Elephas maximus indicus: one gene and its partners. The protein of the gene in region 3 interacts with the protein of the main gene of each other region in a pairwise test. Links are inferred from orthologs where the notes say so. Each region holds a gene or a part of one and is shown on either strand. Other genes may lie near its edges.

The links.
Region 1: the proteins of EGFR (region 3) and TAB1 interact in binary tests that used the Homo sapiens proteins (3 or more experiments, as listed by UniProt). The link is inferred for Elephas maximus indicus from reciprocal best matches to the Homo sapiens genes EGFR and TAB1.
Region 2: the proteins of EGFR (region 3) and PIN4 interact in a protein complementation assay, tested with the Homo sapiens proteins (2 studies listed by BioGRID and IntAct). The link is inferred for Elephas maximus indicus from reciprocal best matches to the Homo sapiens genes EGFR and PIN4.
Region 4: the proteins of EGFR (region 3) and HCK interact in binary tests that used the Homo sapiens proteins (3 or more experiments, as listed by UniProt). The link is inferred for Elephas maximus indicus from reciprocal best matches to the Homo sapiens genes EGFR and HCK.

Annotation. Positions count from the first base shown.
Region 1 is NC_064822.1:183,333,389-183,341,379, reverse strand, and holds the start of TAB1 (TGF-beta-activated kinase 1 and MAP3K7-binding protein 1), read right to left. Parts: upstream 3,084-7,991; 5' UTR 3,061-3,083; coding exon 3,028-3,060; intron 1-3,027. UniProt on the Homo sapiens protein: Key adapter protein that plays an essential role in JNK and NF-kappa-B activation and proinflammatory cytokines production in response to stimulation with TLRs and cytokines.
Region 2 is NC_064846.1:97,314,782-97,322,009, forward strand, and holds the start of PIN4 (peptidyl-prolyl cis-trans isomerase NIMA-interacting 4), read right to left. Parts: upstream 3,037-7,228; 5' UTR 2,945-3,036; coding exon 2,902-2,944; intron 1-2,901.
Region 3 is NC_064826.1:107,230,680-107,238,663, forward strand, and holds the start of EGFR (epidermal growth factor receptor), read right to left. Parts: upstream 3,098-7,984; 5' UTR 1-3,097. UniProt on the Homo sapiens protein: Receptor tyrosine kinase binding ligands of the EGF family and activating several signaling cascades to convert extracellular cues into appropriate cellular responses.
Region 4 is NC_064843.1:37,418,299-37,426,273, forward strand, and holds the start of HCK (tyrosine-protein kinase HCK), read right to left. Parts: upstream 3,137-7,975; 5' UTR 2,877-3,136; intron 1-2,876. UniProt on the Homo sapiens protein: Non-receptor tyrosine-protein kinase found in hematopoietic cells that transmits signals from cell surface receptors and plays an important role in the regulation of innate immune responses, including neutrophil, monocyte, macrophage and mast cell functions, phagocytosis, cell survival and proliferation, cell adhesion and migration.

The DNA of each region.
Region 1 (7,991 bases), on a different chromosome or scaffold from region 3:
ATCACTAGAGAAAGTCGCAGGAAGGGGCCTTGTATGGCCTCTGTCTTTAAATACATATGTATTTAAAGCTAACTTTATCCAATCTTTAAAAAGTACAAGGAAAGATTCCACAACTACCCTCAAGAACACATACGAGAGCTAGTGAAGCTCACCTTTTATCTAACCCAAGTTCCTTGGGCTCCATCACGCCTAGAAGGGAGCCACCCACCCTCTGCACAACCCAGGCAGCCGCTCTCTCTTCAACAAGACAAGTCTACCTGTAGCACTTATCACTTCCACAGCCACTCTCTCAACATCATAATCCAGGTAGTAAGCGTTTCCGGAATGCTTACTACAATGGGGACTGCCCTCCAGGAGCTCACAAAGCAGAGGGTACCAGCCATACCCAACCAACTTCTCAACAAGCCAGACTTGAGCAGCAGTAAAATAAAACCCATTGCCATCAAGTTGTTTCTAAGTCATAGAACCCTATAGGACAGAGCAGAACTGCCCCATGGGGTTTCCAAAGCTGTAATCTTTACAGAAGAGACTGCTATCTCTTTCTCACTGCAGAGTCGCTAGTGGGTTGAAACCGCCAACCTTTCAGATACCAGCTGAATGCTTAACCACTGTACCACCAGGGCTCCTTAGTAAAATAAAGGGGCAGCCAGTGCCCTCTGGTGTGGAGGGGAAGAGAGCTGTCCCCACCAGGGAGCAATCTGGAACAAGGCTCTGCTTCCAGAGAATCTACACAAAGCCTGCCATTAACATGCAACAGTGAAGGTCACCCTCACACCCAAATCCCCATGCTTCAAGACCCTCAATGGCAGGAGGGCCAATGTCTGCTGCATATCCGTAAGGCCAAGGCTAAGCAATGGGCCAGGCTACAAATGCTTTACTCATTTTTTCACCAATTTTTATTGAGTACCCGGCACACAATAGTGTAGATGCTGTAACAAAAGTAAGCAAGGGGTCCCAAGTCCCCATCTTCAAGGAGTTCACTTTCCAGTATGGGACCCAGAGAGGTCCACAGGCAACTACGAGAATGCCATAACTAGGGCAATGGGGAAAGTGGTGGTTCAGTGGTAGAATCCTGCCTTCCACGCCGGGGACCTGGTTCGATTCCCACCCAATGCACCCCGTGTGCAACTATCACTCATCTGTCGAAAAAGGCTTACGTGTTGTTAGGATGCCGAACGGGTTTCAGTGGAGCTTCCAGACTAAAACAGACTAAGGAAAAGGGCCTGGTGATCTACTTCTGAAAATCTGCCAATAAAAATCCTATGGATCACAACAGTCCGATCAACAACCGATCACAGGATGGTGCAGGACTGGGCAGCGAAACCACTGTGCAGGGGCTGCCATGAGTAGAGGGCTAACCCAACAACAGCTAACAATCCATGACCCGTAACTTAGGAGTTAAAATTGGAGCCATTATTCCCTGTCCTTGAGTACAAAGAATGTGGCCCAGATGAATTGGACTCAGAAGGACACATCAACTGGGCCTTGAGGTACAAAAAAAATAGCTAGAACAACCTTGAAAAACATCTTTTAGTGACTCTTTTACATATTCGGAGCACAAAAGACCCACCCATTTTCCACTCTTACTTTTTCTATTAGCATTTAACAAACAGTAACATTTGTTGGACCAGTGAAGACCCTCCTGTCATTACCGAAATTTGTACCAGTAGCTATTAAGAAAGTCAATTCAAAATGCAGAATCATGGTGATTTAGCAGTTTTTAGTCAATGTGTGAAAATGTGAAACTTTTAATGATTTTACCCACTGTAATGTTAATGTTAATATATACTGATGATTCTGTAACATTCCTTGGACTCGGGCAGACGTGGTTCTGGCAGCGTGCTTGTCCGTTTCCTACTTTTGCCTCTTGGAACATATGCCAAATAAAGTCTTTCTCCTTGCTCTACTATAACTTTGTGGTGATTTTACCCTAGGACACTGGACAGGACCCAGAGGATGCTTCCCAGTCCTGGCAGGTGGGAATAAGCCTGTGTTGCCAATGTGAGCACATATGCATCTGTGAACATGCATCTCAGGAGGATGCCCGGGGCTGGAGGGCAACATCACCACCAAACCCAGGAGTGTCCAGGCTGCAGGAGAGGGGGGATCTCAGGACAATCCTCCCACTCCAGGTCTGCTCTGCTCTCTGCTTACAGATAAGGAAACTGAAGCTGAAGGAGGCACAGTAAGTCAGAGTCACGACCAGAACTCAGGTGGCCACTATCTCAGTCATGCCTTCATTATAGCCTAGAGTTTAAGAGGGTTTCCCAAAGGTCGGCAGTTCGAATCCACCAGGTGCTCCTTGGAAACTCCATGAGGCAGTTCTACTCTGTCCTACAGGGTAGCTATGGTCAGATTCGACTCGACGGCAATGGGTTTGGTTTTTCTTTTTCTGGACTCAGACCGCAGATTCGATTCCTGCCTCTGCCACTGACCAGCTGTGTGGCCTCGGGCAAATGACCACCTCTCTGTGCCGCAGTTTCCTCAACTGTAAAACAGGTCTAAAAATAGTACCTTATCGGTGTACTAAGAAAATTAAATTTACTAACATAACGCAATGAGCACAATGCCTGGGACGTAGTGAACGGTATATGAGTGATGCTGCCAGGATTATTACTACTATTGCACGACTACCCCGAGCGGCGGGTGGGCTCACAACCCGGGCTCCTTCCGCTGCCGCGCGCCTCACTCCCCGCCGGCTCCGAGAACGGTCCCACCGTCGACGCCCGGCCGGGAGCGCCGGCAATGCAGTGAGGAGCCCCGGGGCCGCAGGCGCTCTGACCGGGAAGGCCGTGACCCCAGCCGCCGGCCGGGCAGGACGCACGCGCGGGACGCGCAGGACCGAACCTCCAGTGCGCGCCCCCTGCCCCGGGAATGAGGGGGTCGGCCGCGGGAGAGGGGAGGGAAGCGGCCACACCCCGCCCGGGAGAGGAAGGAGGTCCAAAAGCGGAGAGGGAGTCGCTCCTGGACCAAACAGGCGTCCCCGGACCCCCTACCCCCAGCCCAGAGACCGGGTCGGTTCCTCACACTCTGCAGCAGACTCCTCCTCTGCGCCGCCATCTTGGAGGGACCCCCGCGGGCGCTCCCGCCTCCCGGCAGAGCAGGCGAGAAGAGCGGCTAGAGCGGCCTGAAGGAGGCGAGGACGACTGCATTGCCAGGGAGCATGCGCCCAGCGCCACCCTACGGCCGTTGTCAGTTAGGGCCGTGGCGGACCGTGTGCGCAGGCGCACTTGCTTTCCTACTTTTTTCCCTCCGGGGGAAATTTAAAAGAAGGCTTTATTGTACCCCTACATTTTACAAACCGCCCTCCCATCCTTATATGATTGCCTCTCACCCGTCTCTATTTGCGCACTTTCTCAGGGGTACCTTTCAAATGAAACTTCTAAATCCCTGGATTAGGGTCCCCGTATTTTGTGAATCCATGTAGTATACCCCCTTTGGAGTCCTTGGGTGGTGCAAATGGCTAAACGCACACTACTAGCCAAAAAGTTGGTGGTTCGAACCCACTCAGAGGCACCTCAAAAGAAACAACTAGCGATCTGCTTCCGAGAGGTCACAGCCTTGAAAGCCCTATGGAGCAGTTCTACTTCGCACACATGGGGTCTCCAGGAGTGGGAACCAACAGGATGGCAACTAACAACAACTGGTGCCTTTGGGAATTTTATCCAAAGTCACAAGCATCCTTTGGCTTTTATGATCTCCATAGTGTAACTTCTTATTGCATTACCTTTTAAATCTTCCTTTAAAATGCTTGTTTGTAACTGTTATAAGCCTCCTCCTGAGGCACTGGTGGTTTAGTGGTAGAATTCTCGCCTTTCACGCAGGAGAACCCATCTGCATTTTACGCACAAACACCACCCATCTGTCATGGGAGCTTTGCATGTTGCTGTGATGCTGAACAGGTTTCAGCGGAGCTGACAGGCTAGGAAGAAAAGCCTGGTGAACTACTTCCAAAAATCAGCCGATTAAAGCCCTATGGATCACAATGGTCTGATTCACAACTGACCGTGGGGATCGTGCACAACCACGTGGGCTTTTTTTCCATTGTACGTGGGATCGCCATGAGTCAGGGCCAACTGGACCGACCACAGCTAACAACAACAACCTGAACACAATAGCTGGAACAGGGGGTACATGTTCATTCATTCACTCAACAAATACTCCTTGAGTGATCATGCCTGGCATTATAGTGGGCACAGGGCATAACACAGCAAGCAAAACAGGCCATCAAAGCTAACATTTTAATTGGAGAGGACAACATTTTTATACATAAGTTACTTCAAATGGTGTTAAGTACTAGGAAGGAGATGTTTATGGATAGTGCCGTGGGAGTGTGGGGCAAGGACCCGGTCTGTGGAAGCCATGCTTGGGCTGAGATCTGAACAGGTGTTAACTGCTAACAGGGAAGGGCTGGCCAGACAGAGGGGACAGCTAGTGCAAAGACCAAGGAAAGAGAGAGCGCGTGGGCCCAAGAAACTGCCAGAAGGCTGGTGTGACTAGAGCAGAGGTGGAGGAGGAGTGAGGTGATGTGGTGGGGGTGAAGGGGCAGCCTCTGGGCATGCAGGCCCCAGGCAGGAGTTTGACTTCTCATCCCCAGGACGTAGTTGCTGACTTCTGAGCAAGCCAGTGACATGATTCTATTGGTAGAAAGATCCCCTTGACTACTGCCTACAAGACATATTTTTAGGGAGATTGGAAGGAGGCAGAAAGGCCAGTTAGGGGAATATTGTAATAGCTCTAGGCAAGAGATGTTAGTGGTTCGAAATGGCTGATGGCAGTGGGTGGATTTTATTTAGGAGATGAAATTGTCAGGGCTTGATGATGGAGTAGTTGTGGGTGGTGATGGGAAGAAATGTGTCAAAGATATCTCCCATATTTCTGGCAAGAGCATCTAGGTTTGGGGGAGTGAGAAGGGAATGACCATGAATGAGTTCTATTTGAACTCATTGAGTTAGAGGTGTTTTTGAGACATGTAAGTAGAGAAGTCAATTGTTGGATAGAGGGGACTGGAGCTCAGAGCAGAGGCAAAGACATGGTGAGGAGTGTCTAAGGAGGGTGTGGGCAACAGCGTGAGATGCTTGTGAGAGCTCTAGTTAGAAGAGAGCAGAAGAAAGCCCATTAGAGTTAGTGGTCCAGAGGCCTTTGGCCCAGGCAGTTCAGGTAGGATGTAGGACCTAAAAAAAAACCGTCACTGCTGTCAGGTTTTTTCAACTCATAGTCACCCTGTAGGACAGAGTAGAACTGCCCCATAGAGTTTCTAAGGCTGTAAATCTTTACAGAAGTAGACTGCCCCATCTTTCTCCTGTGCAGAGTAGCTGATGGGTTTGAACTGCACACCTCTTGATTAGTAGTTGAGCACTTAACCACTGCACCACCAGGGCTCCTCAGGATGTAGGACAGAAGCCTAAATCCAGTGAGTTGAGAGATGGCTGGAAAATGGAGACATGGAGACCTAAGAGTAGGTGGTTCTTCCCAGTTGGTGAACTGTGACAAGGAAGAGACAGAAAAGGGAACATGGAAGGGGATGTGGGATTGAGAGAAGGTTTTCTTTTAGTTTGGAAGGACCTAAACTTGAGTCTGTTTGAACGCTGAAGGGAAGGCTTAATACAGAAGAGTTGATTCAGAAGATAGAGGGTAGGGGTGGGAGCGAGCCCAGGGCTGGGATGGTGACTCATCATTTTGCTGTCCTACCAACATAGCACCACATGACTCAGGATGGCTGCTCTAGCCATTTTGTCTTAATTCAGCTAGCAGGTAGGAGGAAGGTAGGAAGATGACACCTCCCTCCCTTTCCTTTTTTTAAAATTAAACATTTATTTGCAAGATGTGTCTCTTTCCTTTTAAGGAGACTTCTGGAGGTTCCCCATGATGCTTCTACTTATGCCTCGTTGGCTACAACCTAGCCCCATGGCCATATCTAGCTGCAAGGGAGGCCAGGAAATGTAGGCTTTGGACTGACCGATAACGTGCCCAGCTACAAATGGGATCTATTACCAGAGCAGGATTGGAGAATGGGAACCAGGAGGCTGTGAGCAGTATCCGCCATGAAGAAGGGAGGAGGAAAAGGGGCAGGTGGTTTGTCTGTTGAAGGAAAGCCTGGAAAAAATAAAGATTTGGAGCTCAACCCCCTCCATTCTAATCCCTGCTCCATATCCTGTCACCTGAGTGCTCTTGAACAAGCAACCTCCTCTCCCTGGGCCTCAGTATTCCCCTCTGTAAAAAGGGAGTATGAGGATTAAATGAGATGCCATGGAAAGACCTGACCTGTGGTAGGCACCAATGTTTGTTATATTCAGACTACAATTTAATTAAAAAAAAAAAAAAACTTTATTGTGCTTTAAGTGAAAGTACAATTTCATTTTCTACAGATTTAATAAACCCACATTGAGCACCTGGTGTATACCAGGTAGTTTTTAACCATGTACTTATTTATGTCTCATTCCAACCTCGTAAGGCAGGTATTATCCCGCTTATTTGATAAAGCAGGAAATTCCAGTTCAGTGAGCCACCCAAAAAATAGATGTTGGGATTTGAACTCAGGTCTTCTAACTCCAAGGCATTTCCTGGCAACCCTGTGAGGTAAGCAGACCCTAGAAGGCCCTTCACAGCTCAGCCTCAGCATAACCACTTATAGTTTCCCAAACAACCATATCATTCCCTGCTTCCATGCCTCTGTAAATCTCGTTTGTGCTGCCTAGAATGCCTTTCCCACACCTGCCCACCTGGTGAACCTCTGCTCACTCTTCAAGACTCCTATCAGATGAAATCCCTATGCCATGAATCACTCTCCATCACCTTTGATTATTTAAAACCGTAACTATGGTTTCAGGGACCAGGACTTAGAAGACTGGAACTGTGGCAACTCAGCCCTGGTCTTCAGGCCCAGAGGAGCTGCTCAGCAAATGTTGGTGGCATCGAACTGGTTGAAGAGTCGGACAGCCACAGCCATTCATGGACACTTTGGTAGATGAGGAAACTGAGGCACAGACAGGCCCAAGGTCTCTGAGTGATTTAGAGGAGAGCTGCAACTCTAACTTGTGGCCCCTGGCCCCATACCCACCCCTTTTTCCATACCTAACCCCTCCCTCAAACAATGCAGTGTGGGGGGCCCTGCCTCCAATATCCCTCTGATCTGGTTTTCCAGGAAGCAAGGGGAGAACACAGAGCTCAGCACCACACAACACTTGGAAGACCAACTGTAAGTCTGTGCCTCCTCTTAGCAGGATGGAGACAGGCAGTCTACTGTGGACACCCCTCCAATTCTCCCCTCCATGGGGATGCCATGCCTGGAAACCAAGCTGTAAAATGGCCTCGGAACAAGCGTGTGTCAGCCTGGGGTCTGCAATCAATCCAAGACACGTCCCCGCCAAAAGAACAAAGATGCCACGACTACCAACCTCGATTACTGTTTAAACAGCCGGAGTGTGCTCTGGGCTGTAGCATGGGTGCCCGGATGGGGGGCAGCCTGGAGTGGGTGAGGATCTCCCATGCACCGCTGTGCACACGCAGCCCAGAACATCAGATATCTCCGCGGCCCTGCACCATGACCTTTCCAAACCCAGGCGCCAGTAGAACACACAGCCTAGAGCGCTTAGTCGCAGGGGTCGGGCCGCCTTCTGGGAGCTGAGAAGGGCCTTGCGCACAAGGCCAGAGACCCCTAGTCATAAAATACCGCCTGATAAGGTCTTCAATGAGGCTTTCTACGCCTGCAGCCAGCGCCCCACAGGCCAGCAGATTCCAGTCAATCCTTTGTTTGGCTGCAGCAGCAACAGCTCTGGCTTGCAGATATCAACTAAAGATGACATAGGATGCTGAAGACTATTTCCAAAGGAGATCCTCTTCCTTTTTGCCCTCTCTGTTCTGGGCGGGTGTTTTTTTCTGGGTGCCGAATGACAGCATGGGCCCCATCTTGGTCCAGACTCTGCCTTCCTAGGTTTCCTTTCCTTGCTCACAAGCATTTTGCCATGTGGCTGCATGGTCTTGGTACGGAT
Region 2 (7,228 bases), on a different chromosome or scaffold from region 3:
CTGCCAATTTCATGGTAAATCCTGCTTGTCATGGTAAATCATCACTATGCAGATCACATCTTCTACAAATTAGTGTCTTCAATTTCAGTAAGGCTCTCAGCCCTGAGAGCAATCCTTTTACTTGTGTTTCTGTCGCTCCCTCTCCCATTATTCTCAATGACTATTCCAAATCTCTACCACTCTCCTCAGGATCCCTACTCAGTCCCTGTTTCTTAAGAAATATCCTTCCCTTAGACTTTATCAAGAAATTGAGGCGATTATGCATGATCTCCTACAAGCTCAGCTCCTTCCCCCTTGCTGGCCCCATTTTTACAACCACACTGATCCTTGCCTCTTTCTTTGTGACCCCAAGCACAAAATGTCCCTTCTACTCAAAGGTCAACTGCTCTGCCTCCTTCACCTCAGCTTCACTTCCAAGTTTTCCCCATTCTGAAGAAACAAAACTTCTTAATCCTTTATCCTCCTCTAACTACCATTCAATTTCCATGCTTTTTTGAATTAAAACTTTCACAGGTAGTCCACACTGATTGTCTCCATTTTACCACTACTGTCAGTCCTCTAGTCACTGCAATCTGGCTTCTGCCTTCCTCATTCCAATGAAACCACTCTTGGCCTAAAAAAAAAAAAAAAAAAAAAAAGGCCGCCTCTAATTCCCAAATCTAAACAGTGCTTTTTTCAGTCATCATTTTATTGACCTCTTTGCTGTGCTTGATAGGCTATGCCCTCTTTTCTTGAAACCTTCTGGTCTTTCTGACCTCTGGAATACCTAGCTACTGCACTCCCTGTGGAAGCCCTGGTGGCGTAGTGGTTAAGAGCTATGGCTGCTAACCAAATGGTCAGCGGTTCAAACCTACCAGGCACTCCTTGGAAACCCTATGGGGCAGTTCCACTCTGTCCTATAGGGTCACTATGAGTCAGAATTGACTCGACGGCAGTGGGTTGTTTTTTTTTTTTTCACTCCCTGTATCTGTCTGCCTCTTTCTCTACCTGCCCCAGGATCACATCCTCTGCCCTCTGCTCTTCTTATTCTTTAAGCTCTCCATGGATAATCTCATACACTCTCATGGATACATCTATATAGGTTCTTAAAATATATATACATATTTTACTTTATTTTTGTTGCTGTTGAGAATACACACATCAGAACATACACCAACAATTTCTACGTGTACAATTCAGTGACACTGATTACATTCTTCAAATTGTGCAACCATTCTCACCCTCCTTTTCTGAGTTGTTCCTTCCCCATTAACATAAACTCACTGCTCCCTAAGTTTCCTATCTAATCTTTCAAGTTTCTGTTGTCAATTTGATCCCTTATAGATAGATGTTAAAAGAGTACAATGTTCAAGGCAGATGGTTCTTTACTAGTTAAGCGAAACTACTGCTTGGTTTTAAGACAACTTCAGGGTATATTTTTGGGTTACAGATTCTCTCAGGGCAATAGTTTCAGGGGTTCACCCAGCCTCAATGGCTCCAGAATGTTTGGATTCTACGAGAATTTGAAATTCTGTTCTGCATCTTCCCCCTTTTGATCAGGATTCTTCTATAGAACCTTTGATCAAAATGTTCTGTAGTGGTAGCCAGGCACCATCCAGTTCTTCTGGTCTCATGGCAAAGGAGGCAGTTTTTCATGGAGGCAATTAGCCATACGTTCTATTTCCTCCTACTATTACTCTCTTTCTTTCTCTGTTGCTCCAAGTGAAGAGAGACCAAGTGTTGTGCCTTGAATGGCTGCTTTTAAGACCCCAGTCACTATGCAACAAACTAGGAGGTTGAACAGAAACACTGAAAACGTTATTAGGCCAATTAACTGGGATGTCCTATGAAACCATGACCCTAAACCTCCAAATCTAGGATCCATCTATATGCTAATCACTCCTAAATATATATGTGCCACCTAGATCTCTCCCTCAAACTTCAGACTCAAATATCCAACCACCTCCTGACTACATCTCCACTTATACGTCCCACAAACACTTCAAGTTCAATATATCTAAATGTGAACTCACCAACCTCCTCATTCCTGCTCATATATTCTTCATTTTAGTCTGCAACACCAACATCAAGTTAGAAACTGAGACCTAAAAACTGAGAACTATCCTTGATCCTTCCCCTGTTCCCAATCCAATAAATCACCAAGTCCTGCATATTTCATATTGTATGTATTTATAGAATCTGTTCTCTCCTCTCCATTCCCACAGCCACTACCTTGGTTCAAGTCACCATCATATCTCATCAAGGACTACGATAAAAATCTCCTTGCAGGTCTCCCTGACCCTTCTTAGCACATAACCAACCTTTTTAGCATCATACATAGCACTCTCCAGGATTTGCCCTCTGTCTTCATTCTCACTACTCACCATTCAGTCCTGAGTTTTTGGTCCAGCAACACTGTGCTGCACATACCATATTGTTCCTCACCTCAGTGCTTTTCCTGCTAGACCTGCTGCCCATCTTGACCTGCCTAACTCAGCTCCAGGAAGTCTTCCCTGTTCCTCAAGCTAGATGAAACACTTCCTCAGTTTCCGTAATATCCCATACACATTTCTCAACACTGCATCTAGCACAGTGCTTTACGGTTTCTATCTTCCCCATTACTTCCCGACCTCCTTAAGAGCACGATATCTTATTTTTACAACCTCAGCACTTAGCACTGTACCTGACACATTTCTGTTCAATGGATAAACGAGTCTTTCCCCCATGGTAGGGATGACATTCTGCAAGCATTAAAAGGAACTTCAAGAAACATAATAAATATGTACTTTTTATTGCGGACCTAGGCAGCTCTGTGGGACCGCTGCCACGCGCTGTCTTTGTCCTAGACTCCGGGGGTCGCCTGTATGCTCCCTCCCCTCGCTCCTCCCACGTCCCCATTCTCCCTTTTTCTGGCAGCTCTACCTTTTCCTCCTTTTCCAGCACTGCTTTTTCCTTTGGGCGGCATCTTCGAAACTTGCCGGAGAATTCGCAGCTGCTTCCGTTGCTGTACAAAGCCCCTTCCGGCCCCATGGACACGTCCTAAACAACGCCTGAAAGGGGCATCTCAATTAGCCGTTCTTACCGCGGCTCCGAAAGCAGGCATATCCTAGGGCAGACCCAGACCTTTGGCCCTCGGACCAATGGGGCTGAAGATATCTGACCAATAAGAAGCTTAGAGAGGCGGAGCCAAAAGTAGACTTGAGGCAGGAAATCCCTCCTTTTTAATTTTTTGTTCCTGTTGCACAACACCCCAATCGGCTCCACGACATTGGGTTGGTTTGGTTTTGGTATTTGCGGGAGCTTCCAAGCGCCCCCCACCCCCGCCCCGGCCTGTTTTCTCCACGCCTGCGTAGTAGGGGTCAGGGGGCTTGTGCGTTTCTTTAAGCGCCTGGTGCCTCCAATCCTGTGGAGTCACCAGACGAAAGAAAAGCCGGAAGCGTCGCGGAGGTAGCCCATTTTCCCACCGAAAAGCGTGCACTTTCTTGCGGTTTCTTAAAAAAAAGAAATTTATTTTGCAGCTGTAGCTGATTGGGTTCAAAAGGTAGTTTTTTTTTTTTTTTTAAAACGTGTATCACCTCCTCAGCCTCTTGCGGAACTCTCTAACAGTGAAAAATTGGAAGCAGTCTTAAGTGTCCCTCGTAGAGCACTGTTTAAATAGATAATGTCTCAGCCGTACAAAAGAACGTTATGCGCCACTTAAAATGATTGTAAGGCTGTCCGTACAGATACGAGAAATGTCCTTAAGGAAGCTTACAGATGAAGGTAGAGACTGTTTCAATTGAAAAAAAAATAGAGTATTATATATGCATACAAAGTACAGGCAGGTTGTGCAGCAAAATGTGACCAGTGGTGCTAGTAGAGATTGTCGTGTATGCTTCTGTGTATTTCCCAAAATTTCTGTAATGGTGCAGCGTAATGTAATAGTTAAAAGCATGGATTTTTTTTTTTAACTACCAGACTGCCAGGCTTCAAATCCCTGCTCCACCATGTAGGAGCTCTGTCACCTTGAGGAAGTTACCTCACCTCTCTCTGCCTCAGTTTCATCATCTGTAAAATGGAGTTGATGATAATAAAAATAATAGTACCTACTTAAAGACTGTTAAGAGAATTAAACAAGTTCATATTTGTAAAGCATGTGAAACAATGGCTAGCTCATACTTTTGGATGCCCTCAGTCAATTTCAACTCTCAGCGACCCTATGTGACAGATTAGAACTACCCCATAGGGTTTTTGTTTTTAATAATATTTTATAGTATTTTTCTGGAAGTTTACACAGCAAATCAGGTTCCCATTTGACAATTTCTATGCAGATCGTTCGGTGATATTAATTACATTTTTCACAACTTGTAACATTCTCTTTAATTCCATTATGGTTGCTCTGTGTCGAGTACCCTAGTGTCCGTGCCCCCTTCTCATTTTTGCTTCAGGGTAATTGTTGATCTTTTGGTGTCCTATAGATGGTTCTTTAATGGAGCACCACATTCATGGGTAGTGTCCTTTCTTTTGTGTGCTACTCTGTTATTTTGCTAAAAGGTGACCTAAGGGGATAGTTTCGCTTCAAGGTTTAAAGAGTATCTCAGGGTGATAGTCTCAGGGAGTCCTGTAGCCTCAATTGGTCCAGTAAGTTTGGACTTTTTAAGAATTTGAGTTCTGTCCCACATTTTTCTCCCATTCAGTCAGGGTTCATCTATTGTGGCCCTGATTAGAATGGTCTGTTAGCCCTGTAAACTAGTTTCTTCTCTGAGAATTTGGTTTCCCTCTTACTCTTCTGCTCCTGACGAGTAGAGACCAATAGTTGTATCTTAGATGGCCGCTCGCAAGCTTTTAACACCCCAGACACTACTCACTTCACTAGGATGCCAAACATGAACTTCGTGAGCTATATTATACCAATTGACTGAGTTGTCCCATGAGACTAAGGTCCTAAGCCTTCAGACCTAGACAACCAATCTCTCAAGGTGTTTGGTTATGTCTGAGAAGTATCTGGAATTGTGTCTTCTATGAATATATGTGCCTGCACACACATATCTATGCTTATAGATACTTCTCTCTGTGTGTACATATATATATACTTGTACCTATTTGTGTATTTGTATATCTATATGCCTATATGTATACGTATGTGACCATCCACTCATTTTTTTGGTTATTGTTGGTATTGCAAAAATAAGATGTCATTTTCTTCAGCACAAACATCTTTTTCTCTTGCATGTTTCTTAGTGACATCATTTACTTTAATCAAGTAGTGCTCATTACACCCATTCAGTGTTACTTTTCCCATCACCAAAATAACAAGTATCTAGGATCTAGAGTGTGAGCCCCCCACCCCTGGAAACCACTAATAAACGTTGGTCTCTGTATATATATATATATCTATCCTGGTCGTTTTATGAGAGTGGGATCACACAATATTTGTCCTTATGTGATTGACGTATTTCACTTAGAATTGTGTCCTCCAGATACATCCATCCTGGACTCATCATTGTTCTTTATGGTTGCATAGTAGTCATTGTGTGTATGTACCTAGGGCTTGGAACTGGTTTGTTCAGGTATGAACTCTTGCTGAGAATATGCATTTCTAACAAGTCCCCAGGTGATGATAATACTGCTAGTTAGGGACCAATTCTGAGAACCACTAGTATAGCAGTGGTTCTCAAAATTTATTATATATAAGAATCACCGGGGGATTTGTTAAAATGTAGATTCTGATCCAGTATGTGTGGGGTGAAAATGCAATTTCTTAGCAGAGGTTTGAACCAAAACGAACCAGTTTGAAGCCCTGTATGTACCACATTTTGCTTATCCATTCGTCTGTTGATAGGCGCTATGATGGTTAAGATCGTATGTCAGCTTGGGCATGATTCTCTGTTTTGGCAGTCGTATAATGTGATCACTTCCATGTTGAGATTTGATATGTGATCATTCCCATGATGGGATCTGCTGTGAGTAGCCATTCAGTTGAAAGGGAGTTTCCTTGGGGATATGACCTGCATCTAATATAAGTGGACATTCTGGCAAGCCTCGGGGGCTTTTCGCTTGTGCTGGATCCTTCAGCTGGCTCCTGTTCATCTGACCTCTGGTTCTCAGGACTTGAGCTAGCAGCTTACCTGCGGTCTTGCCTGCTGATCTTGGGATTCATTGATCTTCACAGCCCGTATGCAAGAGCCCTGCTCTCTGACCTGTCAGTCTTGGGTTCACCAGCCCCTGCAGCTACGTGAATCAGGAGAAGCCTATATCCTGACCCATGGGCTTGGGACATTCCAGCCTCTACAACCGCATGAGCCATTTCCTTGGTATAAATTTCTCTCTATATATTTATACGCTTTACTGGTTTTGCTTCTCTAGAGAACCCAGCCTAAGACAGGCACTTAGGTTGTGTCCTAGTTATCTAGTGCTAGATAACAGAAATACCACAAATGGGTGGCTTTAACAAAGAGAAATTTATTTTCTCACAGTTTAGGAGGCTAGATGTCTGCCTTAATCATCTAGTGCTGCTATACCAGAAATACCACAAATGGATGGCTTTAATAAAGAGAAATTTATTCTCTCACAGTCTAGTAGGCTACAAGTCCGAATTCAGGGGATCGGCTCCAAGGAAAGGCTTTCTCTGTCGACTCTGGAGGGAGGTCCTTGTCATCAGTCTTTCCCTGGACTAGGAGCTTCTCTGCACAGGAACCCCGGGTCCAAAGGATGTGCTCTGCTCCCGGCACAGCTTTCTTGGTGGTATGAGGTCTCCAACTCTCTGCTTGGCTCCCTTTCCTTTTTTTAAATATCTCTTGTAAGATAAAAGATGACCAGGCCATGCCCCAGGGAATTTCCCTTTACATTGGATCAGGGATGTGTCCTGAGCAACGGTGTTACCTCCCACCCTAATCCTCTTTAATGACAGGCAGAGATTATGATTTATAACACATAGAAAATTCACAAAATGGAGGACACACACAATACTGGGAATCATGGTCTAACCAAGTTGACACATATTTTGGGGGGACACAAGTCAATCGATGACAGTGTCTGAATTCAGTGTGCTGCCTCCATGGGAAGGCTTTCTCAGCTCTGGAGGAAGGTCCTTGTCCCTTTTGAGCTTCTGGTCCTGGGCCATCTTCATGTGGCTTGGCATCTCTCTTCACCCCTCTTTGCTGTTGCTGTTGCTTTTTTTTTAAATTGTGCTTTAGATGAAGGTTTACAGAACAAACTAGTTTCTCATTAAACAATACACATGTTTTATGACACTGGTTGCCAATGCCAC
Region 3 (7,984 bases):
GAAGAAAATTAACTGTAGAACCTTCACTAGATATCTACCTTTCCTGAAATGAGAATTTTACTAAAAAATAAATAAAAATAAAGATTCACTCATCTCTGTAATCAGTCTGGAAGTGAACGTCTCACACCGCTTTATAAGCAGACTTCATCCTCATGGCTTTTCTCTGAAGAAACAGTAGCAAAAACAAGCGAATATTTCTCCCAAAGAGGTCTTCTTTGGTGGTGGTGTTAGCTGCTGTCCAGTCAGCCCCCGACTCAGGGAGATCCTGAGCACAGTGGACCTGATGGGCTGCAGATCAGACTGTTGTGATCCATAGGGTTAGAGTGCCAGACCTTTTTTCCTAGTTCATCTTAGTCTGGAAGCTCCACCGAAACCAGTCTGGCATCCTAGCTATTCGCCAGCCTCCACTGACAGATGGGTGGTGGCTGCACATGAGATGTACAGGACAAGAATCAAACTCAGGTGTCCAGCATAAAAGACAAGCATTCCACCACCGAACCACCAATGCCTCAGACCCAGGGAGTCCTAGAAGCTCAGAAATAAAGCAAGGCCTCTGTACTCCAAGTATATGGACAAATGATTTTTCATTGCACTCCTCCAAACATTCTTCCCTCAAACCACCCATTCCTATCCCTACCTCTGCTGCTTTTTAAAAAAGACTTAAAATTTTTTTTTACAGTAATTTTAGGTTTACAGAAAAATTGCACAGAAAGTACAGTACAGAGTTCCTCTATATCTTCCCTCAAGCCCCTGCACACAGTTTCTCCTATTACCAACATCATGAATTGGTTTGGTACATTTGTTACAATCGATGAAGCAATATCAAAACCTTGTTAGTAACAATGTATCAGTGGTCCATAGTTTACATTAGGGTTCACCCATTGTGTTACAGAGTTCCCTGGGTTTTGACGAATGTCATGTATCCACCATTACAGTATCATTTGTAATGTAAGTGTGGATAAAGCCTTTTCATGGGATCCTCTCTTTCTACACCAAGCTTTATCCGAGTTTGTTTTTAAATGGTGATAGCACATGGCCTCCTGGTTGATGGGGTTACTTCAAATATTGCGGCCAACATCGGTGACATGGAGGTTATGACTGCTACTGTGCTACTTGGGTGATGGCTTCAGTAGAGACTGGAGTGAGGAAATGTGAACACTCACCATCAATGCAGAAACTCAGGGAAGATTCAGCTGGCTGAAGATCAGTGTGCCCTGGACATGCAGACACAAGCAATCTTTGGTTTGACCTTGTTCTGCATCTCACTCTATCTCTTAGGAAAGCTGTAGCCTAAGCTGCAACTGCTACCCCAGAAACAACCAAAGCCCTAGCAAACAATGAAATAAAAAAGAGAATGGGGCTGCTGCCACTGGAATGTCTGAATCCTGTATTTGGGGCTCTGGTGACACAGCGGTTAGGTGTTTGGCTGCTAACCAAAAGGCTGGCAACTCAAATCCACCAGCTGCTCCTTGGAAACCTTATGGAGTAGTTGTACTCTGTCCTGTAGGGTCACTATGAGTCAGAATTGACATGACGACAACGCGTTTAGTTTTTTTTTTTTCCCTAGTCCCAGAAGAATGTTTTGATATGAAGTATGATGTTTATGAAGAATACGCAAAATAGAATGATGATGTTTTGTTGAGGATTTTTGCCTGTGGAAACTTAATTTTCAGACCGAGATATTTCAAAACAAAAAAGGCAAAACCAAAACTATGACTGTTCTTTTGACTAAGCTGTAAAAGTAGAGAGCTCACTTTAAGTTTTCAACATCATGTACCAATAATTATTGGTAATAATAATTAATTAACCTTTCAGGGACTTTGCTTATTAGGACAGGCATCTATTTGCTTGACTGTACATTATCCATATTGATGACTTCCTCTAATAAGTGGAATACTTTGAGATATTTTCCATGGGTAGCATTCTTGCTGTGTCCCTAGTTAATCCTGAAAGCATCTTAGGATATAACAGCATTTTCCTGCAGATATAACCAATCTGAGATTTTTTTTTTCCTCTGACCTTCATCATTTAACTCTGAAATCATGGATTTGGGTTCACTATGAATACAGCCCTACCATGCACGAGCCATTACAGTAGGTGCTGTATATCCTTTTCTCACTTCAATGCAAGAGCAATGCTGACAGAGAGATATCATTATCTCCACCATAAACCCAAACAAATCGCCATTGAGTCGATTCCGATCTCATGGCAACCCCGTGGTGTGTCGGAGTAGAAATGTGCTCCATAGGGTTTTTAATGGCTGGTTTTGCAGAAGCAGATTTCCAGGCCTTTCTTCCAAGGCACTTCTAGGTGAACTCAAAGCTCCAAACTTTCAGTTATTAGCTGAGCACAGGAACCACGTGCATCACCTGGGGACGCCATCCCCACCATACAAGTGAGGAAAGTGAGGATGGAAAACTGACCCAAGACTCAGTGTTTACTGTTTATAGCTGAGCTATCAACATCAGCCTGTCTGATCGCAAAACATCTCTGCCTCAGCATCCTGCCTCCCAGAATTACTAACCTCAAAATTGAGTTCTGTAATTTCACCTCTAGCTGAATGTATTTTTTATTTTTAAGTTTGGGAATGTCTATGTGAAAGAAAAATTTTGTGTTCTTTTGTTTTGTTTTTACTGCATCATTTTCAGGCTTAAGAATCACATGCATATCAGTCTTTGTTCCAGTTTATTTGAAAGGAAGGGAAACTGTGCAACTAACTTTGGGGACAGCCAGAACAGCGTGGCATTTAAGGAGTTGTCCTAAGCAGGTGCTCTCGTCTCTAAACCCACAGCATCATGGGTTACAGGAGAGAAGCAGCATGAGCTCCACCACCAGCATACCAGGAAGGAAGAATCTGTACACTTAGTTTGCTAATATTAATCTAAGAATCAAAGCTTCTGAACTGCCCTCTTTGTAACGTAGTGAACAGAACCTGACAGTGAAAAGCAATGCCTTTGCAATATGCTGAAGATGATTTGTTACGATGAGTGATCAACTAATCTACTTATAGAAATCTTGGCTTTATACTTTGTTTCCTTAGAACCAAGGTTTGTCAGGTGCAGGCTGACTGTTCTCCTTAGCACGAATTCGATACTACCTCCTACTACCTCCTAGCCCTGTCTCTCCTCTGCTGACGCCAACTTGCCAGAGCATGCTTCACACAAAATCTTTCTTTGTATTAAAAAAAAAAAAAAAAGCACTGCAAAAGTCTGGAAAGTATAGGAGGCAAGACAATGTCACAGCAATATGACCAGAGAACTAATTCTCCAGTTACCAACTCTCTGAGTTTTAAGACAGGGCTTGTAATTTTCAGAAGCCAAACTAGATTGTGGTTATTTACAAATGTTCCTTATACTTATGAGATGAGAACAACTCCTGCTGAGAAGCAAAAGTCTCTCCAAATTGAGGGAAAAGCGCTCAATTGCAAAAAAGAAGCAAGAAAGGACTACAGCATAACCTATAGGGTAACTTCTCCAGACGCCCACGGCCCAAGGAGACATTTTTAGTGCCTTATACAGTTATCTCATCTGCACTGTATCCCCCCTCCCTAGGTTGTTTTATATATACCAAAAATCAAACCCGTTGCCGTTGAGCCAATTCCAACTCATAGCGACCCTGTTGGGCCAAGCAGAATTGCCCCATAGGGTTTCCAAGGTGCGCCTGGTGGATTCGAACTGCCGATCTTTGGTTAGCAGCTGTAGCACGTAATCACTACGCCACCCAAACCAAAAACCAAACCCAGTGCCATCGAGTTGATTCCGACTCATAGTGACCCTACAGGACCCAGTAAAACTGCCCCACAGAGTTTCCAAGGAGCGCCTGGTGGATTCGAACTGCCGGCCTTTTGGTTAGCAGTTAACCGCTATGCCACCAGGGTTTCCACTATGCCACCAGGGTTTCCTAAATATATATATAGATGTAGGTATATAGATATATCATAAAATTTGCTACTTAACCATTTTTAAGTGCAAAAGTCAATGGCATTCATTATATTCACAATGCTGTGCATCCATCACCATTATTTGCCTTGAATTTTTTTTTCATCATCCCAAACAGAAACTCAGTACCCTTTCAGCAATAACTCCTCATCCCCCTTCTGCCTCCCCTAAAGAGAGATCTATTTAGGTCTCTATGCATTTGCCTATTCTAGATATTTCATATAAGCAGGATCATATTTGTCCTTTTGTGTCTGACTTGTAGAATGTTCTCAAGGTTCATTCGTGTGTGGGACATATCAGGACTTCATTTCTGTTCATGGTGAAATCCCATTCCATGGTGTGGATTACCACATTTTGTTTATGCTTTCAGCTGTTGATGGATGCTTGAGTTGTTTCCACCTTCTGGCTATTGGGAATAGCGTTACAGTGTACAAGTATCTGGTTGCGTCCCTGTTTTCATTGCTTTTGGGTATACACCCAGGAGTGGAATTGCTGCACATTGTGTTTTAATCATGTAGTCATTAAGAGGAAAATTACGTTAGAAACAGTATGTAACTTTCTGGAATAGTTCATCTTTTTCATAACAGGGAGAGACGCCAAGAATCCCTGAGCTAGAAAGGAAGGCTGGAGCAAAAAGGTCTTAGCAGCAGAGGGTAGTCTGGGAATGACAGAGGCCATATGACTCAGATTTGTTTAGTAAAAGAAATTCCACTTACTGTACTGTTCCTCAGTGCCTTCAGCACTGCTGTCTGTATCAAAAGCCTGTGGGTACAAAGGTGACGTGAAAAACAAAAACACGCTCACTTTTCTCTTGGGGAACAATGCTGCATGTCCCCTAATTCCCCCAACACCGTCTGGTCTCTATCTTGCTCTGCTGACCTCCTCTCTGGCTTTATTCATAGACCTCTCCTTGGCCAGAGTTAACATGTTTGCGGTATGATTCACTGTGCCATGATTCCAGGCTCTTTTCTGTCCCTTTTGCAGCAGGAACCTTTTAATGAATATTCTCAAAAATGGGAAACAGGCTGTCAGTCTTTAATGACTTTCCTGTTCTTGCTTTATATGTGTCATCTTAAAATACAACTGATCTTTTTAAGGATACAAATGTGTTTGTTATCACCCAGACAGTTCTAGTGAGTAAATTACTCTTCCGGAATAATAAATGAGAGGCTTTTGAAAGTGCATTAACTGTTTAGATTCACCCAGCTCCGATCAACTGCTCAGGGAATTTCCACCCGGCTCGTGAGTCACCAGCAAAGGTTGCTGGTCCACTCCTCTCCTCCTTAGGGAGTGATTTAATAAGTCCATCTAAGTGTTTACACATTAAAATCCAGAGTGCAGCAAGAATCTCCAGTCACAGTAAGAAATTCCAGAGTTACATTTCTGAGAAAGTAGCAAGAAAATTCCGAATCTAACCCTCCCATTTATCAAGGAACCAAAAAATGTCCTCTTCCAGATACTTCACACTGACTTCTGTATGCCCCGAGAGTGCTTATTTGAAGAGATATGCCTTCTAATTTAATTACATTTTATCTGGAGCATGATGCATAGTTGAACCTTTCCATGGGGATGCAAGTGGTCACGCTGACCAGCAATACTGAGCCACATCAACCTCTTGGGCTACTGGTCAGCGAAACCAAACCAGGTGCCGCTGAGTTGATTCCGACTCATAACGGCCCCATGTATAGCTGAGTATAACTGCCCCATAGGGTTTTCTTGGCTGTAATTTTTTTATTCAAGCAGATCATCAGGCCTTATCTTCCACAGCACCGCTGGGTGGGTTTGAACTGCCAACTTTTCAATTAGCAGTCGAGCGCAAACCATTCACGCCACCCAGGGACCTCTTGGGCAATTGGTACACGGGGGTTATTCGCACTTCTGAGCTGGTGATGCTGTGTGTATCTGGTTAGTTTCAAGACGGCTGCATCTCAGAAAAGGGAGAATAACTTCTGCGTTTGCTGATGGTAAAATACTTTGAGAGGATCTCATGGGAAGGGAACTTTTTCCATAACTGTAGGTTTAGCATTTGCTTAAAAAATAATTTTTTTGTTCATTACAGCTCCTCCCCCACACCTGGTCTTTTAATCTTAAACACACACGCCACCCCTCCACAATTCTACTGCCGTCCAGGGAATACTGTATCGTTCCAATCGCATCAGCACATATGGTTCCATCTCAATTATGGACCAAAGTAAACTAAAGGCCTGGAACTTAATGACTTCACCAGGGAAGAGGTTTCAAACAAGATCAAGGAGGAAGCGTGGGGGAGAGAAAATCTGCCAAACAGCAGAAAGGGATGGAAATGAGAGGAGGAATCGTGGCCAGTTGAAGGAGGCCAGCTTGCTTGCTTCCGGGCATAGATTTCTTAATTTTTCTTATTGTTTGAAACTTGACCCCTTCTGCTCTTTCCATTGGACCTTAAGTGAAGAGAAGGGAGATGCAACGTGGTGTCTGAGGAGCAAAGAGACTTTGGCAGCTTACAGGGCTGGGTTTGTGGTTTGGCTCGGTGAGTTTGGAGAAATTACTCAACTTCTCTGATCCTTGTTTCCTTACCTTTAAAAAAGGAGCCAAGATGCCTCTCTTTTTTGTTAATTTTAAGCACTAAAATGAGGCAATGATGGGCATAACGGGCAGTTCTGGGCATGAGCCAAGCATTCACCACGGGGTTGGATTCATATTGTATAAGCAAGAAAGGGTTCCATAAAGTTTGGGCTAAAAGCACATTTTCAAGTTGAGCAAAGCATTCCATTTTAAGTAGCTCTTCAAAGATGCCCCAAGACAGTCTCTGACATTTCCAAAGAAATTCTCTTGGGAAAGCAAAACAGGCAACTGGAATGCAGAACCACCACCACCACCACCTCCGTGGTAAAAATGCTAACAATGAATATGCAGCAATATGTGGTTGGCTCTGCCTGCTTCTCAGATATGATCCTACAGGCATGAATGCAATGAGAGCAAATACAACGAAATCATACTTAGAAACCTATGCACACCTTTTCATGCAGATAAGCAGTGAAGAAAGAGAAAAAATATGTTCATTCAAGCAATAGGTAATAAATGATAATTTATTTAATTGAATTGAATTTTTCTGCAAAGTATTTCTAGGCTGTGGTTTTACTCTAAGGGTTAAGAAAGGGGGTACGTGGGCTGTGGAATCCTGAATTTCTCTACTGTTCAATTTTTTCATGCCTGTGTATTATTCCAATTTTAATTTCTATGCTGCTAAAGCAAAAACTCCTGGGCCACAAATGCAAGTGATAAAGCTGCTGCTGTGAGTTGAAAATCCACTCTCCGTCACCCAACGCCAACAATCTACCCAAATCACCTGCTACTTCTTTAAAGTCTAATTTTCATACAGAAATAAAGTTTTCTTTTTCTAGAAAGTCTGCTGGGGCTTGGGTTGAGACCATGTTCTAGACAAGTTCTCTCCTTCTCCATCTCTCTTACCTCTCTACCCAGGACTTCTTCCTAAGTACTATCTGCAGGGCTCTCTTGTTCTTAAAGGCTAGATTTCTTACTTTTCACTTATCTCCCCAGGACCAAGTTCCCCTTCTGTTTATTGTAATTTTATTTCCTTCTGCACTGCCCCAAACTTCCCTGGAACCGAGATTAGAGTTCCATCAACCTGGACAATTAGATTTCCCTTGAATTCCACCCTATCATAGGAAGTGAGCAATAAACACTTGATCTTCTGATGAAGAGTCAGTAGGAGCCATTGTCCCCAACGATCTCACCCATTGAGTGCCACTGGGTTTTGTGGTGCTTAAATAGGTTTTGTTTTTTGGATGCTGTATAAATTAAGTCCATCAAGTTACAAACTGCCTAGTTGGGTAAGTAGATTAGATCATAGTAGATCAGAGTTTGTCTACTTTTATTATTTTTTTTTCTTGCAGTCTGTGGCTAAGTTCCATTTGCCTTGGTTCCAAAAATCCACATATGGAAGATGAAGTTTCACACAGATATGTTTATATTTGTATAGTCATTTATATAGCTGACATCCTCTGAGACCCTCATCTATGGTAGGGAAAAGCTTCCCTCACACACAG
Region 4 (7,975 bases), on a different chromosome or scaffold from region 3:
ATATATTTTGAGGGCCTAATGAGCGCTAGGAGTCAAAATTGACCCATGGCACACAACAACAACCATGAGTCAGGTGTTAGGGACACAGTGGTTTACAAGGCAGACATGTCCATGCCCCCGAGAAATTTTCTTTCTAGAAGAATTAATTCCAAGCCCTGGCTGCCAGTTCTCTGAGCACAGACACCCTTCTCCTCACCCGCTGGGGCAAGGGCCCTCAGACATCAGTTTTTTGGGCTGACGGTAGAGGTATGCTTCCAGTTTTCAAGCATCTACTAAATGCCAGGCACAGTGAACAAGGTGGATGAGGATTCTTGACCTTGTGCAGTGAAAATGTGAGACCTGGGAGGTCAGCAGAACCAGATTCTTCTCTCGTTTCTGCCCCAGACTCCCTGGTTGACCCTTCCAGGCCTACCTGTCCTCTCCCCAAGGGGAGGGAGAGAGGGGCCCCTTCAGGGAAGCCATCAGCCCCTTGGCATTGCCCTCAAGTAATACCTGCAGGAACCCCGAGGCTATGGCCCCTGGACACTCTGCTAACTCAGAGCCAAAGCACTCTTAAATCTCGCTTTTCTGGCAAAGATTAGACAGGCCTATAAAACAAACAATAACCCAAGTGAGAATATGCTCCTTAGTGCAATCAGATATATGAGACCAAATGGGCACCTCCTGCCCAAAGGCAAGATGAGAAGGCAGGAAGGGACAGGAACTGGACCAATGGACACAGGGAAGGCGAGGTAGAAAGGAACAGCATGCTGTCCCATTGGGGGGACTGCAACCAATGTCATAAAATAATATGTTTATAAATTTTTGAATGAGAAATTAACTCGAGCTGTAACCTTTCATCTAAGGCACAATTTTAAAAAGAAAGAAAGAAAAGGATGGTCCCCGCAGCATCTTTTATAGCAGTGAATACCTGGGAACAACCTGAAGGTCCACCAACAGGGAAAAGAGAAACAATGTGGGTGGTCACTCACTGGGACACTCCTCTGCAGTTAAAAGGAATGAAGGGACCATTATTTCTCGTCATGGGTAGACTCTGACAGCTTAATGATGTGAAGGAAAAAAAGAAAGAAAGAAATTGCAGAAGACTCTTACAGTTAGGTAATATTTATGTAGATGTCAAGAAAGAAAACAATTCTGTGTGTTGTTTATTGATGCATTACATATATATGCAGTAAATTTATAAAAACATGGACTGGAAGGGCTGTAATTTATGACAGTGGTAGACTCAGGAGGGAGAGAAACAAGACTGGGAGGGATATGGGCGAGGGGTTCGATTTCATGTTACTTTTAGTAATTTCATTAAAAAAAAAACTCGGAAGTAAGCATGACAAAATGCTAACATTTGTTAATTCCTGGTATTGGGTTCCTGGGATATTTAGTGTATTAGTCTCTTTGCTTTTCTGTATTTTTAAAAATCTCCACTTCCCCAATAAGGGATAGTGACAAGAAAGCTGTGGGATAAGGGAACTGATATCTATTAAGACCTTTCTCTGCACCAGCCATACATTAGGTCAGTGGTTCTCAAAGTGTGATCCCGGAACCAGCAGCACCAGCATCGTTTGAGACTGCAAATTCTCTGGGGCCCTGCCCCAGACTACTAAATCACAAACTCTGGGGCTGGGGCCCAGCAATCTGTGTTTTAACAAGCCCTCCAGGTGATGCTGATGTATTGCTAAATTTGAGAACCACTGGGTTAGACCTTAATAGCTACGACAATCCAGCCACTAGTTGCCAAGTTCATTCCAACTCATGGCAACCCCATGTGTGTCAGAGAACTGTGCTACGTGGGGTTTTCGATGACTGATTTTTTCTCCCCCAGAAGTAGATTGCCAGGCCTTTCTTCTGAGGTGCCTCTGGGTGGACTTGAACTTGCATCCTTTCTGTTATCTGGAGCCGGTTAATCATTTGCATCACCCAGGGACTCTGAAGCTATGGCAACAAATTAAGCATGTATACCTATCAGGCGGTCTCTAAGAGCTTTCCCCTAAGTAACTCAATTTAATCCTCTAAACAACTCTGTGATGGAGGTATTATTATTTTTATTCCCAGGAAACCCAGGCACAGAAAGGCCAAATCCCCTACCCGAGTCCTCTCCCTTAACCACTACACTAAACGGTCTCTTTTTAAGAGGCAACAACCTCACGTACACAACCTCTCACAAACTCTAGCTCACTGTAGCAGTTGAGGAAGGAATTAATAGCCCTGTTTTACCAATAAGGAAACTGGGATTCAGAGAAATGAAGTGACTTGCCCAAGGTCTCATAACATCCTGTGGTCTCCCCAAGAGGTTTTGGGGTTTGACTCAGACCTCTTGGGGGTCCCGGCCAAGACCGGCAGGGAAAGGGAGCTCAAGGAGTTGGCCCAGCTGCTACCCCGCCTGGGTGTGGCTCATAGGTCACGCCCCCACCCAGCTGCCCCCTTCCCGCTCCGGCCTGGGCCGGAGGGGATCTCGACCAGCTGCCAGCCCGCTGTGACTTGTCATCCTCCCCCACTGAAAACCTGAAAGGCCCTCCCCTCCCGTCTGCTCATGGGAGCCGCATCCCTTCCTTCTCTTTTTTTTTTTTGCAGAAGGGGAACCTGGACGGCAAGAGAAGTGGCACTCGAGCACAAAGTCACTCAGCCCTCCCTTTGGGCTACCCAGGCTCCCAGCTGGGCCATGGCAGTTCCTCCTTGACCTGGGCACCCACCTGTCCCCGTTGGTCCTCTATCCCACCGCCTGTCCGCGGCTCCCCGGACGCGCTCTGCTCCCGCCCCTCCGACTGGCTGCACCCACAGGCAGCCCTGCCCAAGACCCCGGGCTCCCTCCGCCGCCCGAGGACCCCGAGCTCACCGGCCAGGTGCTATCCCCCCGCCACCGGCCTGTCCGCGACACTCACCTGGGTGCCCGCTCCTCGTCTCGCGGGCAGCCCGGATTCTCGCAGCTCGGGCGCCCCCCCAGCTTAGCAGCCCCCGGGGTTCCGGGGCGCCCGAGCCTGGAGGAAAACGGAGTGACTTTCGAGAAGAAAATACTGGGGCGCGGCTCCCAGGGGCTTCGGAGCCGCGGGCCTTCTCGGACTTTTCTCCAGCTGAACCGGCTCGGTCCCCTCCCACTCGCCTCTGAGCCTGGGCGGAGCCGGGGGGCTGGAACCGGGGACTCGCGGGCGCCCACAGGCCAGAGGTACTTTAGCCCCGCCCCGCCGGTGTTAACCCCTCCCCAAAGGAGCCTGACCCCTTCCCCCAAATTCTAACCCCACCCCAAGAATTCTAACCCTTTCCCTGGGGAGCCTACCCTGGGTGCACTCCTCCCAGGAGCCGGGATTTTTAACTCCGCCCACTGGAGGCTTTTAACACAGCCGTCAAAGGTCCTCACCCCGCCCCAAGGATTTTAACCCGTCCCTCAAAGAAGCTAGCCCCCATCTCCTCCTCCCCGTATCGTGACACCGCCCCTAATATACTCTAACCTCGCCTCGGAAGGAGCCTAATCCAGTCCCCGAAGGATTCCAAACCTTGCCCCTAGGGCTTCTAACCCGCCCTCCAGAGAACCCTAACCCGGCCCCCTCCTCCTAAGATCGTAACTGTGACCGCAGAGGATTTTCGATTCCACTTCTAAAGGATTTTTAGCCTCGCCCACCATAGATTTCTAATCCTGCCCCCAGGGATTTTAACTCCTCTAATTTTTTATTAGTTCTAAAGGAGCCCTGGTGGCACAGTGGTTAAAGCGATCCACTGCTAACCCAAAGGTCGGCGGCTCGAAACCACCAGCCGCTCCGAGGAAGTAAGATGTGGCAGCCTGCATCCTAAAGGTTTACAGCCTTGGAAACCCTATGAGTCGGAATCCACTCTACGGCAGTGGGTTTCTGGTTCTTCCAATGATTCTAACCAGGTTCTCAAGATTTATAGCTCTAACCCTAGGAATTCTAATCCCACTCCTGAGTGATTCCCGCGTTTGTTCCAGAAGGATTTTAACCTCCCCCTCAGGACTCTAACCCTGCTCACCCGAAGGTTCTAATCCGCCCCCCCCCCCGGGATTCTAACTCCACCTATCAAAGGATTCGAATCCCTCTTTTCAAAGACTCCAACTTAGTCCTGAAGGGTCCTAACCCCCACCTTGTCTCTCCCAGCAGGGTCCTAACCTGCCCCCCCCCCAATTCTAATCCCTCCCTTGTCCACCAACTCCCTAAAGAACCTAACTCGGTTGCCCTCCCTCCTCAAGATTCTAACCTAGTTTCCCCATCTCCCTTCATCCCACAGGAGTCTAACCTGGTACTCCACCCTCCTCTGCTTTAAGTTCCTTCTCTGGGGATCCCGAAGTCCTCGCCACCTCTGGGTCTCCCCATCCACCCGCCTTTTAGCCCAGGCGCCTCTCCCACGCTGCATCCCTGGCCTTCCCGGCCCTTCTGTGGTCAGTGGTTTCCCGTCCACAGGCCCTGCCCTAGTCAAACGCCATGCAAAGCTCTGCGCCCGCAAAACTGCCCTTGGCTGGTTCCTGCCCATTTCCTGGCAACACAGACAGCTTCCCAAATTGAGAAGGGTGGACAGGAGGCAGAAGGGTGACTGGATGGGATCCGGCTCAGCGCTGGAGAAGAGCACAACCCATCTGCCCCTGGAAAAGAGAGGAACTGTCACCCTAAATTCTACCAGACACAACTTTAAAATGTACTGTGTCTCTCTCTTCCACAGCCACAAGCCAGCTCTGGCTACCGTTGTCTCTTATTCATTCATTCATTCATTCATTCATTCATTCATTCATTCATTCATTCAGCAGTACTGTGTAGGACACTGTGCTGAGCGCTGGGATAAGTCAAGCTTCTCATACTCGGTACTCTGGACTTTTGGACTTAAAATTTTTCTTGAAAGGGGGCTAATCCTGTGAATTGCAGGCTTTTCAGCAGCGTTCCTGACCTCTACCCCCTAGATCCACCACCTGTGTACTTGCATGAACAATCAACACCCATGGAGGCAGCAGTCAAGAAATCAAAGGACAAATTGCATGGGGCAAATCTGCTGCGAAAGATCTCTTTAAAGTGTTAATAAGCGAAGATGTCACTTTGAGGACTAAGGTGCACTTGACCCAAATATATGAGGTCTTTTTGACCGCCTCATATGCATGCAAAAGCTGAACAATGAAAAAGGAAGACGGAAGAGTGAATGCATTCAAATTGTGACGTTGGTGAAGAATATTGTTGGAAAAACAACAAATTAGTCTTAGAAGAAATACAACCAGAATGCTCCTTGGGAGCAAAGGAGACTTTGGCTTCTTTATTCTGGACACATCATCGGGAAAGACCAATTGCTAGAAAAAGACATCACGGTTGGTAAAGCAGTTGTTGTTAGGTGCTGTCAAGTTGGTTCCGACTCATAGTGATTCTATGCACAACAGAACAAAACATTGCTCTATCCCCCGCCATCCTCTCAATCGTTATGCTTAAGCCCATTGTTGCAGCCACTGTGTCAATCCATCTCATTGAGGGTCTTCCCCTTTTTCACTGACCCTCTACTTAACCAAGCATGATGTCCTCCTCCAGGGACTGATCCCTTCTGACAACATGTCCAAAGCATGTGAGACATAGTCTCGCCGTCCTGGTAAAGTGTCTGTTAGTTTGTCATACCGTGGGGCCTTGCGTGTTGCTGTGATGCTGGAAGCTATGCCACTGGTATTCAAATATTAGTAAGGTCACCCATGGTGGACAGGTTTAAGCTGAGTTTCCAGACTAAGACAGACTAGGAAGAAGGACCTGGCAGTCTACTTCTGAAAAGATTTAGCCAGTGAAACCTGGTAAAGCAGAGAGTCAGCTGAAATGAGGGAAACCCTGAATGAGATGGATTGACTCATTAGCCAAAACAATGGACTCAAACATACCAATGATCATGAAGATGGTGCAGGACCAGGCAACGTTTCCTTCTCTTATACATAAGGTTGTTGTGAGTGGAAGCCGACTTGATGGCAACTGGCAACTGGCAACTAAGAACAACACACTAGATGCCAGTAGCACACACATCCCCCAGTTGTGAGAGCCAAAAATGTCTCCAGACATTGCCAAATGTCCCCTAAGAGCTCACAACAATGAACAAGAAAGACAATGCCTCTGCTCTTATGTGTTTGGTATATGTGCTTAAATATATGTATATACTTTAAAAAAAAAAAGTAGGAAATGTTTTAAGTGTGTGTTTAATTTACTTGAATCGTACTTATAAATTTCATACTTTTTTCACTCTATCACTGTGCTGTTAATATCTAGCCACGTTGCTGGAGGTACTGGTTGTTCACTGCTTCTAACTACCATGTAATCATTGTTTACATCCTCCACATTTTATTTATCCATTTCCCTAGTCATGGACACCTAGATTGCACCCAACTTTTCACTAACATAAACAATGCCACACTAGGCATCCTTACATACATCCCCTAGTGGACCTGTGTGAAAAGTTTTAAGACTTGCTTTTGCCAAAAATGATAGATACTTGCAGAATGGCTGCCACCCAATTTCTCTCCAACAATTTCCCCATTAACTTCATCAACTTTTGGTATCACCCCCTGGTCTTAATATGAATTCCCCAGAACCAAACCTTAGACAAGGATTCAAGTGAAAGTAGCTGTTTTTTTGGAGACACAGATAACACTGGTAGAGACGTGAGTGAGATAAGGAAGGGAAGGAAACCAATTAAGGAAGCATTATCAAGTGAGCCATCATAAATTGGAACCAACTCAGTGGCAACTAACAATAACATCAAGCAAGTTACCAGTGTGGGCAACTGGAGCTCAGTCCTGCTGGGGAACTCTGGGAGACAGTGTACTCTACCACTTGAGAGTTATCCTACCTGATAGATGAGGTAACTAAGACATTTACACACCAACTCCTGTCAGACAGTGGCTAATGGCTACTCCCAGGCCGTGTCAATGCCTGGGCAGAGAGGGATCCAGCCACCAGAGAGAACCTCCAGGAAGAGATGCCGGTCCTGGTAAAGGCTGAGGGGACATGGGAGGGGTGTTATCTGCATCTGCTACATCTCCTTCCAAATGTTTGCCATTCTGATGGCAGAGGGTCACACAGAGCTGAAACATTCTTCTGTTAATGACCAATTTTCTAATTCATTGCTGTTAAAGTAATGTTGTTATAAAAATTCCTGTACATGTTCCCAAATCTCTTATCAACTTTATTGTGGTATAATTTTCATACAATAAAATGCAACCTTTATAAATGTACAGTTTGATGAGTTTTAACAAATATGCACACCAGTGTAACTACCTCCTCAATCAAGATACAGAACATTTTCATTGCCCCAAAAAGTTCCCTTATGTCCTGTTGCAGCCAACGCCTCCCACCCCTGGCTTTAGATAACCACTGATCTGCTTTTTGTCATCGTAGATTAGCTTTGTCTTATCTAGAATTTCACATGATGCAATCATATTGTATGTTCTCTTTTGTATCTGTCTTCTTTCAATCACATATTGCTTTTGAGATTCTCCATGGATCTCAGTTCTCAGGTTCCAGTGGTTTGCTCCTGTTCACTGCCGAGTAGAATTCCGTAAACACATGTATCACTTTGTTTATCCAGTCACTTGCTGATAGACATTTGGGTTGTTTTCAGTTTTTAGCTATATGAATAATGCCGTTATAAACATTTATTTACGAGTCTTTGTGTGGACATGTTTTAATTTCTCTTGGTAAATACTTAAGAGTAGAATTGCTGAGTCACGTAGCAAGTGTATGTTTAACTTTACATTAAACTACTAAATTGCTTTTCAAGGTGGATATATTTTATATTCTCACCAGCAATGTATAATTTCCAGTTGCTCCACAACCCTGGTGGCATAGTGGTTAAGTGCTACAGCTGCTAACCAAAGGGTTGGCAGTTCAAATCCTCCAGGCGCTCCTTGGAAACTCTGCAGGGCAGTTCTACTCTGTCCTATAGAGTCGCGACAAGTCAGAATCGACTCGACGGCACTGGGTTTGGTTTTTTGGTTTGGTCCACGTTCTTGCCAACATTTGGCATT